2 linked regions of the Coturnix japonica genome follow. The main gene of each other region encodes a partner of the protein of the gene in region 2 in a complex. Links are inferred from orthologs where the notes say so. Each region holds a gene or a part of one and is shown on either strand. Other genes may lie near its edges. The genes, in order: PELO and HBS1L.

Region 1 (4,331 bases), on a different chromosome or scaffold from region 2:
AGATTGTTTCAAACATTTCACAGAAAGCCTCTAATAGATGACCCCATTTCTCAACCCTTCTTTTTAAGGCATAGTAAATGAGTACCTAAGAAGACCAAGTATAGTTTGGCTGTCTTGCATGGAGGATTTTCTATCTGTAATACTGTTTTCAAACATTTGAGCAAAAATAAAGAGTCTGACATAGTTTTCTGCTTATTTTATTAGCTTTTTGTACACATTACAGAACATTAAGCTGACAATCTGCCTTAGCATATAGAATAAGCATAAAGAATAAGCAGCTTCAGGGACTGAGAACTGTTTCTGGTACTGCTGGAGGTCCAGGGTGTAACTTGCAAAACCAGTCAGCTCTAAATCTCAGCATTCCATTCATGTCATTTTGATGTCACTTGGAAGGGATACTGTGAAATGAAGCCACTGTTGTCAATCTTCTTCAGAGCTAGATTCATCCTCCTGGTCGGAGAGCTCAGCAACAGGGAAGCGCAGGATGGCTGCTACCCCTGTCAGCTGGCCAAGCTGCTCACCAGATACATGAAGGCTGGAGAAAATGCGCACTGTGCCCATGTTCTCCCGTACACTATCTACCAATTTAACGTATCGGGCACGTGTAGCCACATCTTGGTGCCGGAAAAGCTCATCACTGATCAACAAAGTATCAATGGCCATGGCTTCATTGGCCTTTTCCACATGTTTTAGGCCATAAAAAGCTCGGTCAGGCTCATGCTGCAACATTTTGTAGAAGTCATCTAAGGCTTTGACCTCACCAGCAGCCTTAGTGTCAGAGAGACGGCTAGTTACAGCTGGGTCACAAAGTGCCTCCTTCAGTGCGTACTTATGTCCTGATGATGAATGTACCTGGAGTAAACAAAATCAGAGATTCCTTCTTTAATACAAAGTACAATTGTCTTGATTAGCCAATCACAAATAGCTTCCACAATACATATTTACCTTGATAATAATCAATTTATCTCTTCCTTCAAGTCTTTTCTTAACTCTTCCTCCTTAACTTCTCCTACAATACAAACCTCAACCTAAATCTACAAACTATATTTTAAGCTTATTAAAAAAATTATTTTCTTTAGAAACAACCCTAAAAAAACAAGCTGTTATTAACAGCACCAAAGGCAGAAGCATCTCAAGCTACTAAGAAAACTTAAGAAAACTTAACCCTCTTTATTTTACAACATACAAGAAGAATATGACCCTTTATGATTGAAGTCATACAGCACAAAAGCATTAAGTCTAGTCTAACTGCATATTTCTATGCTTGCTTTCACACATTATCATTTTCCTGTATATGCAAGAGCAGGCTTCTTAGTGTAATTTAAGACTACCAAATTTTATGACCACTAAGAATTGGACCGTCTCCATTCTGAAAGCACAGATTAGGCCTGCAACAATTCTAAAGTGACAAAAGCATCCTTATGAAAAGGAAAACTTACTTTTCAATTTGTCTTTGCCTATTTCAATGGAAGGCAAAAATGAACAGACAAACATAATAAAAAACCCCAACCAATTATTAGAATCAAGAATAAGAAGAACTGTTATGGTCTACACAATCTATAACTAGCAGCAACATTAACTAAACTATACCACTTCCCTTCCTCTATTAAAACCTTCAGAAAGCTGCTACTAAACGTACATATTATATAGCATGGCTGTTTAACACTACAATTGAACTGCTTTTCAATTAATATTTCACTTTTAATAGTACATTAAATAGTTATTTAAAGCCAATATTTTCTCTACTTCATGCCAAATTATCCAAGGAAAGAAAAATCCCCGAGTGTTGCCTAACTACTTTATAACTTGAGAGGCATGAGAATATGCCTTTCTATTACAGCATCCCCTATGAAGCTGTAGTAGAAAGTTAATTTCTCCAGTAATGGTATTATTTCCCCATCCTCCTTGTATTTCTTTTCTATTAACATGGAAGGCACCTCTTAATCCACTTTTTAAACTTTGTAAAAAACAATGTATCCCCTTACCTGTAAAAACTTGGATCTGTTCTCCAGTAAAAGCTTGTTGTCAGTTTTAACTGCCTGCTGGAACATGTAATCACAGAACTGCTCTCGAACAAAGCCTGGGCTGGCCACCAGTACACACTTCACCACCTCAAAGTTGATGTGCCGCTGTATGGCCTGCACCACCTGTTCATAAAACCTCTCTAGGGCCCGGTCATGCTGGCTGCAGTTTCCTTTCCGTTTGCGAGGGATATTCACTTCCACCTTGGCACGAGTGAGTGTCATGCTGGGGGTAACCAGGCAGACATGAGCCAACCCCTCCTGCATGACCACGGCTGCCACATCAGCGCTCCATGCCGGGTCACAGGCTTGCTCGATGCGCTCCAGCACCACACTGTCCCACTGTTTCTTTGCCAGCGTGAACTGCCGGTTGGGCTCCAGCTCGATGGTGTGGTAGGCCCCCATCTTGACGTACTCATTCTCCTGGATGTTGGTGCCTTTGACCCGCAGCTGGCAGGCCTGCGTGTCGAAATCGATGGCCTCCACGCAGAGGGTAAGGGTGGTGCGGATGCGGTTGCTGCCCACGCTGCCCGTGGACGACTCGGTCTGCACTTTGCGAATGGTGGAGGCCCGCAGGCTGTCACCCACCTGCAGCAGGTTGTAGGTGTGCCACATGTCCTCGGGCTCCTCGGGGATCAGCGTCACCTGTCCCGCATTATCCTTCTCCAGGTCCTTCCTGACCAGCTTCATCCTGCCGGCGCCGTCCCCACCTTCTCTTCAGCAGCGGCCCAGCCTGTCTACTCACCCCGTGAGCCCTGGTGGCGGCGGGGCCAAGCGGAACGTACTGCCGGCCGATCAGCCAGGGGCCGATCCCCGACCGCGGACGAGACGCGGCCCGGCCGCGAAACCAGAGCTCCGGGAACCCGACTCCTGTAGGCTCCTGTAGGCTCCTGTAGGCCGCTCAGCCGCCCCTCCGCCTCACAGCCTCCTCCCCAGGCGCATGCACCGAACCCGTCCGACGGGGAGCCAGCAGCGGCCGGCAGCCCTTCCGCACGGCACGCATGCGCAACGCCCTCCACACGCCGCCAACTCAGCCATTAGGAGCTGGCGCATGCGTACGGCGGAGCCTCTGTTCTGTGGTGGAAAAGCTGAAGCGAGAGTGGGGGTAGTTGCACTAAGTTCCACACGCATGTAGGTATGGAAAGTCATGGATACAGATAAAGGAGATGAGAAAAGTACAGCTAAATAGCAGATTTCCTTGCTGAGATAAGTGAATTCTGTGATACTTCAGAATCACATCGAACAGGCTATGATATCTAACGTGCTAGGGCATGAAAGAGGTGACTAGAGAGATGGTATTTACAGACCACAATGAAAACGAGTCCAAAGTAACACGAAGCCGTGACTGTTAGTTTGACTTTACTCTTAAAAACAGCTTAAAGGTTTTGGTTAAACTGTTACTAATATTTTTTTAATACAGCCTACCTTCAGTTGTACTCAAACACACCCAAAAACTTGAGCTCCTTCCTGAATCTCCTGTTTGTGGTCAGAATGAGACAGCTGTGAGAACCATCAGACATGCAGTATAAAAAGCTCCGTGTTCTGATGTTGACAACTCAGTTTGCATCTTGGATGAATTTAACAAACCAGAAATAATATAAAAACCTGTGATACAGTCGTGCAAATTCTGACAATTTTGGAATTCTGACAATTTTGAAACAGTGTCGTGATGCTGAATGCTGTTTTCAGAAGGAATGTTGCAGATTTGTTAAAAATGAGGGGAAACTGAGAAGGATGGAGACTAAAAGGATGTGTTTGTATGACAAAGAGATTGGAAAGTGAAAATACTTCATAAAAGAGAGAAGTTACTTTGCTTTCTAAGTTTATCAGGGCAACTGGAGCAAATAAAGTGAGTTTTGATATACCTCAGCCATAACTGAAAAGCAAGAAATATCCTCTTGACAGTTTTAAACTTTCTGCCTTCCCCTTGGTTAAGAAGAACTTTATGGTTTCCTGTAGTTTCTTAAGAAAATGTTTCTAACAAGGAAAATAATTTGACTGAAGGATTTAATGAAATACAAGATTTGTGTTAGCAAGTGATATCTCCTATTGTGGTGAAATTCATGTGAATAATATGAATTTCCCTAAAGTGTCTGGCACTGGTCACTAATTAGAACAGGACACTGAACTCATATCTGGCCCGGTGACATGTATTCAGTGTTTCTAATCTTGATGCTGATGTAAAAACAACTTTATCAGATATTACATAACAGGATTTATTTATGAGACCTCAGACTCTCTTCCTATGAGTACACATGCCGAACTGTTAGCATGAGTACTTTCACAGAAGGAAACTGGACCACCCAAGGG
Region 2 (4,562 bases):
GTGTAAAAAGCACGATGAGGAAGACTAAAAGGACATCTTTGCAATAGGACGATCTGGTTTGAAATGAGAAATGTCACTATTTGAAAAAGGAAAATATGTTAAATTTACATGATTAATATTTACTTGACATTCTAACATTTCAAAAAATAAGATCTAATTTTGGAGGTTGAAAAAAAGTGCAGTTTCCAAGTTCAAGCTTGTTGGAGGCAGACTGGCAGAACACTGTGAGGCTTGTAGTGATACAGGGTTCTAATTTACAGCTAATTTACTTCACCAGAGGACCAGATCGCACATGCTACAATCAGTTTTTGAATTTAGAATTGTATCACCCAACAGAAGATAGTGCCACAACTCTACATGATGTTACACAACATTAAAGCATGACATGTACAGTTAGGAGCTTTCTACAAGCACTCTCATGGCATGACTTACTTTGAATGTATCAGTCTGACTTCTGCTGTTAGAAGCAATGGGAATCAGCTGTTCAGAAATTTCATACATTTCTGCAGGGAATCACTACTGCTACAAATGGTTTGGGTACGTATTTGTCATAATCCTTCAAAAACTGTATTTGAAAACACTCAAGAGCTTCTAAAGACTGTTTGGTGCCATGTGGAACTTAATGTTCAGCAAGGGTGCAATATGAAATCATAAAGAATGACAGCAGTTCTGCATCTCTGACCCATATCAAGAGATTGGGACAGATAGCGATAAATATAATTTCATTCAAACTGTGGCAGAGAACATTTATTTCTGTCACCGAAGGTCAACAGTACATCAACGTTAATTAAATATTTTTGTTTCCAGATCTAATTTAATCTTAGCGCCATATGAAAGACATTATATAGATCCTAGGTCTGTGCAGCTGCGCGCGCTGTTCTGTACAAATTGATTAGAAATATGCAAATAACACAAGGAAACAATCTGCACATTTGCATGCAATTTGTACATGAACACACAGTTTGGCTTATGTTTAACACACCTTGCCTCTGGCTGTGGTCAGGATGGTTAAATATATATACTACTACATGCAAACGTGGTTGTAGCAATTTATTCATTTTGTGGCTCATACAGAATCACAGAATGACCTGGGTTGGAAGGGACCTCAAGGATCATGTAGTTCCAACCCCCCTGCCTGGCAGTGCCACCAAACATACACCTTTACTAGATCAGGTTACTCAGGGCCCCGTCCAACCTGGTCTTGAACACCTCCAAGGACGGGGCATCCACAACCTCCCTGGGCAGCCTGTTCCAGGGCCTAACCACTCTCCTGGTAAAGAACTTCCCCCTAAGGGCAGGTTACACTCCCATTGCCATTTGGACACCTCAATGCACACTGACACCCAGCCCTCCCTCCCTCCTCCTGCTGTGAGGGCGGAGGCGCCTCCACCCCGCCCCGCCCCGCCCCGCTCCCGCCGATCAGCACGCGCCGCATCTGCCGGACAACGCTGCGCATGCGCGAAGCCGCGGCGCGGCCGGAAGTGCGCTCGGTGCGCTTGCGCATTGGGCTTCTGCGCGACCCGGCAGAGACCAACATGGCGTCTTAGGCCCATCGACCCAGCGTCAGCGGGCGAGCGACGCGGCCGCCGCCATCATGTCCCGGCACAGGAACGTCCGAGGCTACAACTACGACGAAGGTAGTGGCGAGCAGGAGCCGGCGGTTATATCCGACGCCGATCCCGCTTCGGGCCTGCCAACCACCCTCCCTTCACGCAGCCCCGGCCCGCAGCCCTTTCCCGGCGGGCCCTTGAGGAGACCGCGAGGCTCGAGGCGAGGGCGCGGGGGATCGTCGGGCCGGTGGGAGGGGAAAAGCAGCTGCTCCCTTCCCCTCCCCTACGCGGGGGTTGGACGAGGCGCCGTGGGAGGCCTCGCCCCGCTCCCCTCGGCCCCCCCGCCGCTTCCCGCCCGCCGCCGATGGGCTGCCTCGTCGTCAGCGGGAAACGCTTTGCTGCCCGGCCCGGGGCTGCCGAGGCTGAGCGATTTTCAGAGGCGTGGGAGTCGCTTAAAGCCAGTGACGGTGTGACTGAGCCTCTCTTGAGTCTTTTGGAAGTTTATGGGTCCAGTTTCAGTGCAGCAAGTTGTTACTGGTATATTATGGATAAGTGACAACGTCTGTACAGCGGCAACACTTCTGTGTAGGAGAGAATTTTGGATGTTAGGGGGAAGTTCTTCACTAGGAGAGTGGTTAGGTCCTGGAACAGGCTGCCCAGGGAGGTTGTGGATGCCCCGTCCTTGGAGGTGTTCAAGACCAGGTTGGACGGGGCCCTGGGCCACCTGATCTAGTAAAGGAGTGTGTTTGGTGGCCCTGCCAGGCAGGGGGGTTGGAACTACATGATCCTTGAGGTCCCTTCCAACCCGGGTCATTCTGTGATTCTGCGAGGCATAGTTCTGAATCATAGACCTGAGCAGCTAAGGAAGAATCAGATATTTCTGTTATATTGTACTCAAGTTTGTATGGAGTGAATAAGATCTCGTGTATGAATTTCAGCTTATAGTAAAGTGACTTTTTTTGTGTCCTGTCCCATTAATACAAGCAAACTGCCCTTTGTGCCCATTGGCTGAAGGGTTTTATTTGTGTTGGCTTGTGTTGTGAAAAAATGGGCACAGTTCCACTTTATACTGGTGTTCTAGATAATATGTTAGTATGGAAGCAGCTACTTCGTCAGGTACAAAAGAATGCAGAATATATTTCTCCCTGTCTCCGCTCTTCTGAGTGAACAGGTGCAAAGTTCAGAGATCGGGTTTTGTGCCATGAATTTGGACTTTTGAGAGAAATCATTTCAATCTGCATTTTCCATTACTGTAGTGTGAGCTGCCTTGCTCTCCAAGTTTACCTACTAGAAGCCCAACCTTAGCCTGGGTTGGGAGTTTTTGTGCTGAATTTTTTCAGCCTCGACAGGCATTTACTTCATCAAAGATGTTGGCTGTAATGTTGCTCTTAACTGGGCCTCTGCCCTCTGTGTGAGTGTACAACCTGTAGAACTCACTTTGGTGCTTTTACTTAGATCAGGAATTCTTTTAACTCATCTTGCTGAGATTCTATAAATTGATTTAACCTTATGAGGCCTGTATTGCTGCTCTGAAGTTCTACTGTTGCATTACACATCAGATTTAATTACAGGTGTGCATATGTGTGGTCTGTATACTTCCGTCATATATTACTTTTGTAGTCACGTGCAATCTTGCTAAGTTACTTAGAATACATGTATGTATTCTGCTTTGTTTAGCCCAGTTCTTGGTCTTCTAAAGTAAATATCTGCGTATTTTTGGTCTCCTTTTTGTAGGAAGGCTTCGGAGCCCTGAGGAAGGATTTTCAGCCTTAATGTAACTGTATTCTGTTTCTGAGCATTTTTTGAGGTTGTGTGTTCAGAACTGAATGAGTTCTGAGCTGAAATCTGCTGAATTCCTGCGGAGTATTTTGGCAAGATAGCTGTTGATGCTGTGGAATTTATCTGTGGTCTAGAGATGCGTTGAGAGTAAAATTAACCTTTCACATCTCAATCTGTTCCTTTTTTGGATGGATACAGTGTTTGTAATATCCTAGTTCTGTGGCCTTTGAGTTGGTACTGGAGTACCAAATTCCTGTGTAACTTCTAGCTACTTTTTCCTCTTTCTTTAAAAAAAAGGGGATTTGATCCAAGTTTATAAATACTTGAGGTGTGGGGGCCATAGTGGTGAGGCTGGTCTCTTTTCAGTAGTGCGTGGGGACAGGACTAGGGGTAATGGGCTGAAACTTCAGCATAGGAAGTTCCACACGAATGTGTGCAAGAACTTCTTTACAGTGAGGGTGACGGAGCACTGGAACAGGCTGCCCAGGGAGGTGGTGGAGTCTCCTCTGAAGATATTCAAGACCCACCTGGACACCTACCTGTGTGACGTGGTGTAGGGAACCTGCTTTGGCAGGGGGGTTGGACTCGATGATCTCTAGAGGTCCCTTCCAACCCCTACAATTCTGTGATTCTGTGAAAAAAGAAGCAAACAGTATTTGTGAACTTGTCAAGCATATGCAGTAACGTCTTCAGAAATATTTCACTATTCCATTATGTATTTCATTATTCTTGGTGAAAAATGTAAGTTTATTTTCAAAGTATATGTAGTACCAGGATATGCGTATATTTTTAATAGAGAATAATTTACTTTCTGATTATGTTTCCTGATATGTTTCTTAAAATTTGAATCACAGAATCACAGAATTGTAGGGGTTGCAAGGGACCTCTAGAGATCATCGAGTCCAACCCCCTGCCAAAGCAGGTTCCCTACACCACGTCACACAGGTAGGTGTCCAGGCGGGTCTTGAATATCTCCAGAGAAGGAGACTCCACCACCTCCCTGGGCAGCAAATGGATGAGGTCTATGGGTATCTTTGAGTAACTGGATAGGAGTCTTGCTTTTTTGGCTGAAACTGTTTCAAACTTAAGTTGAAGGAGATCTTGAATTATGTTTTGACCTTGCTGAGTTTTGAAAGGTGGGTGGGTAAACATGAGGATAACTCTTCGAAATGAAAGGATAACTCTTCGAAAGGTCTGACAATAGCAGGACACGGGGAAGTGGTTTTAAGTTGA

Evidence for each region.
Region 1: HBS1L (region 2) and PELO share a complex: the UniProt entries of both Homo sapiens proteins name them as parts of the pelota-HBS1L complex. The link is inferred for Coturnix japonica from reciprocal best matches to the Homo sapiens genes HBS1L and PELO.

Annotation. Positions count from the first base shown.
Region 1 is NC_029547.1:17,374,140-17,378,470, reverse strand, and holds the start of PELO (protein pelota homolog), read right to left. Parts: upstream 3,024-4,331; 5' UTR 2,712-3,023; coding exon 1,986-2,711; intron 853-1,985; coding exon 421-852; 3' UTR 1-420. UniProt on the Homo sapiens protein: Component of the Pelota-HBS1L complex, a complex that recognizes stalled ribosomes and triggers the No-Go Decay (NGD) pathway.
Region 2 is NC_029518.1:50,454,811-50,459,372, forward strand, and holds the start of HBS1L (HBS1-like protein), read left to right. Parts: upstream 1-1,487; 5' UTR 1,488-1,594; coding exon 1,595-1,637; intron 1,638-4,562. UniProt on the Homo sapiens protein: GTPase component of the Pelota-HBS1L complex, a complex that recognizes stalled ribosomes and triggers the No-Go Decay (NGD) pathway.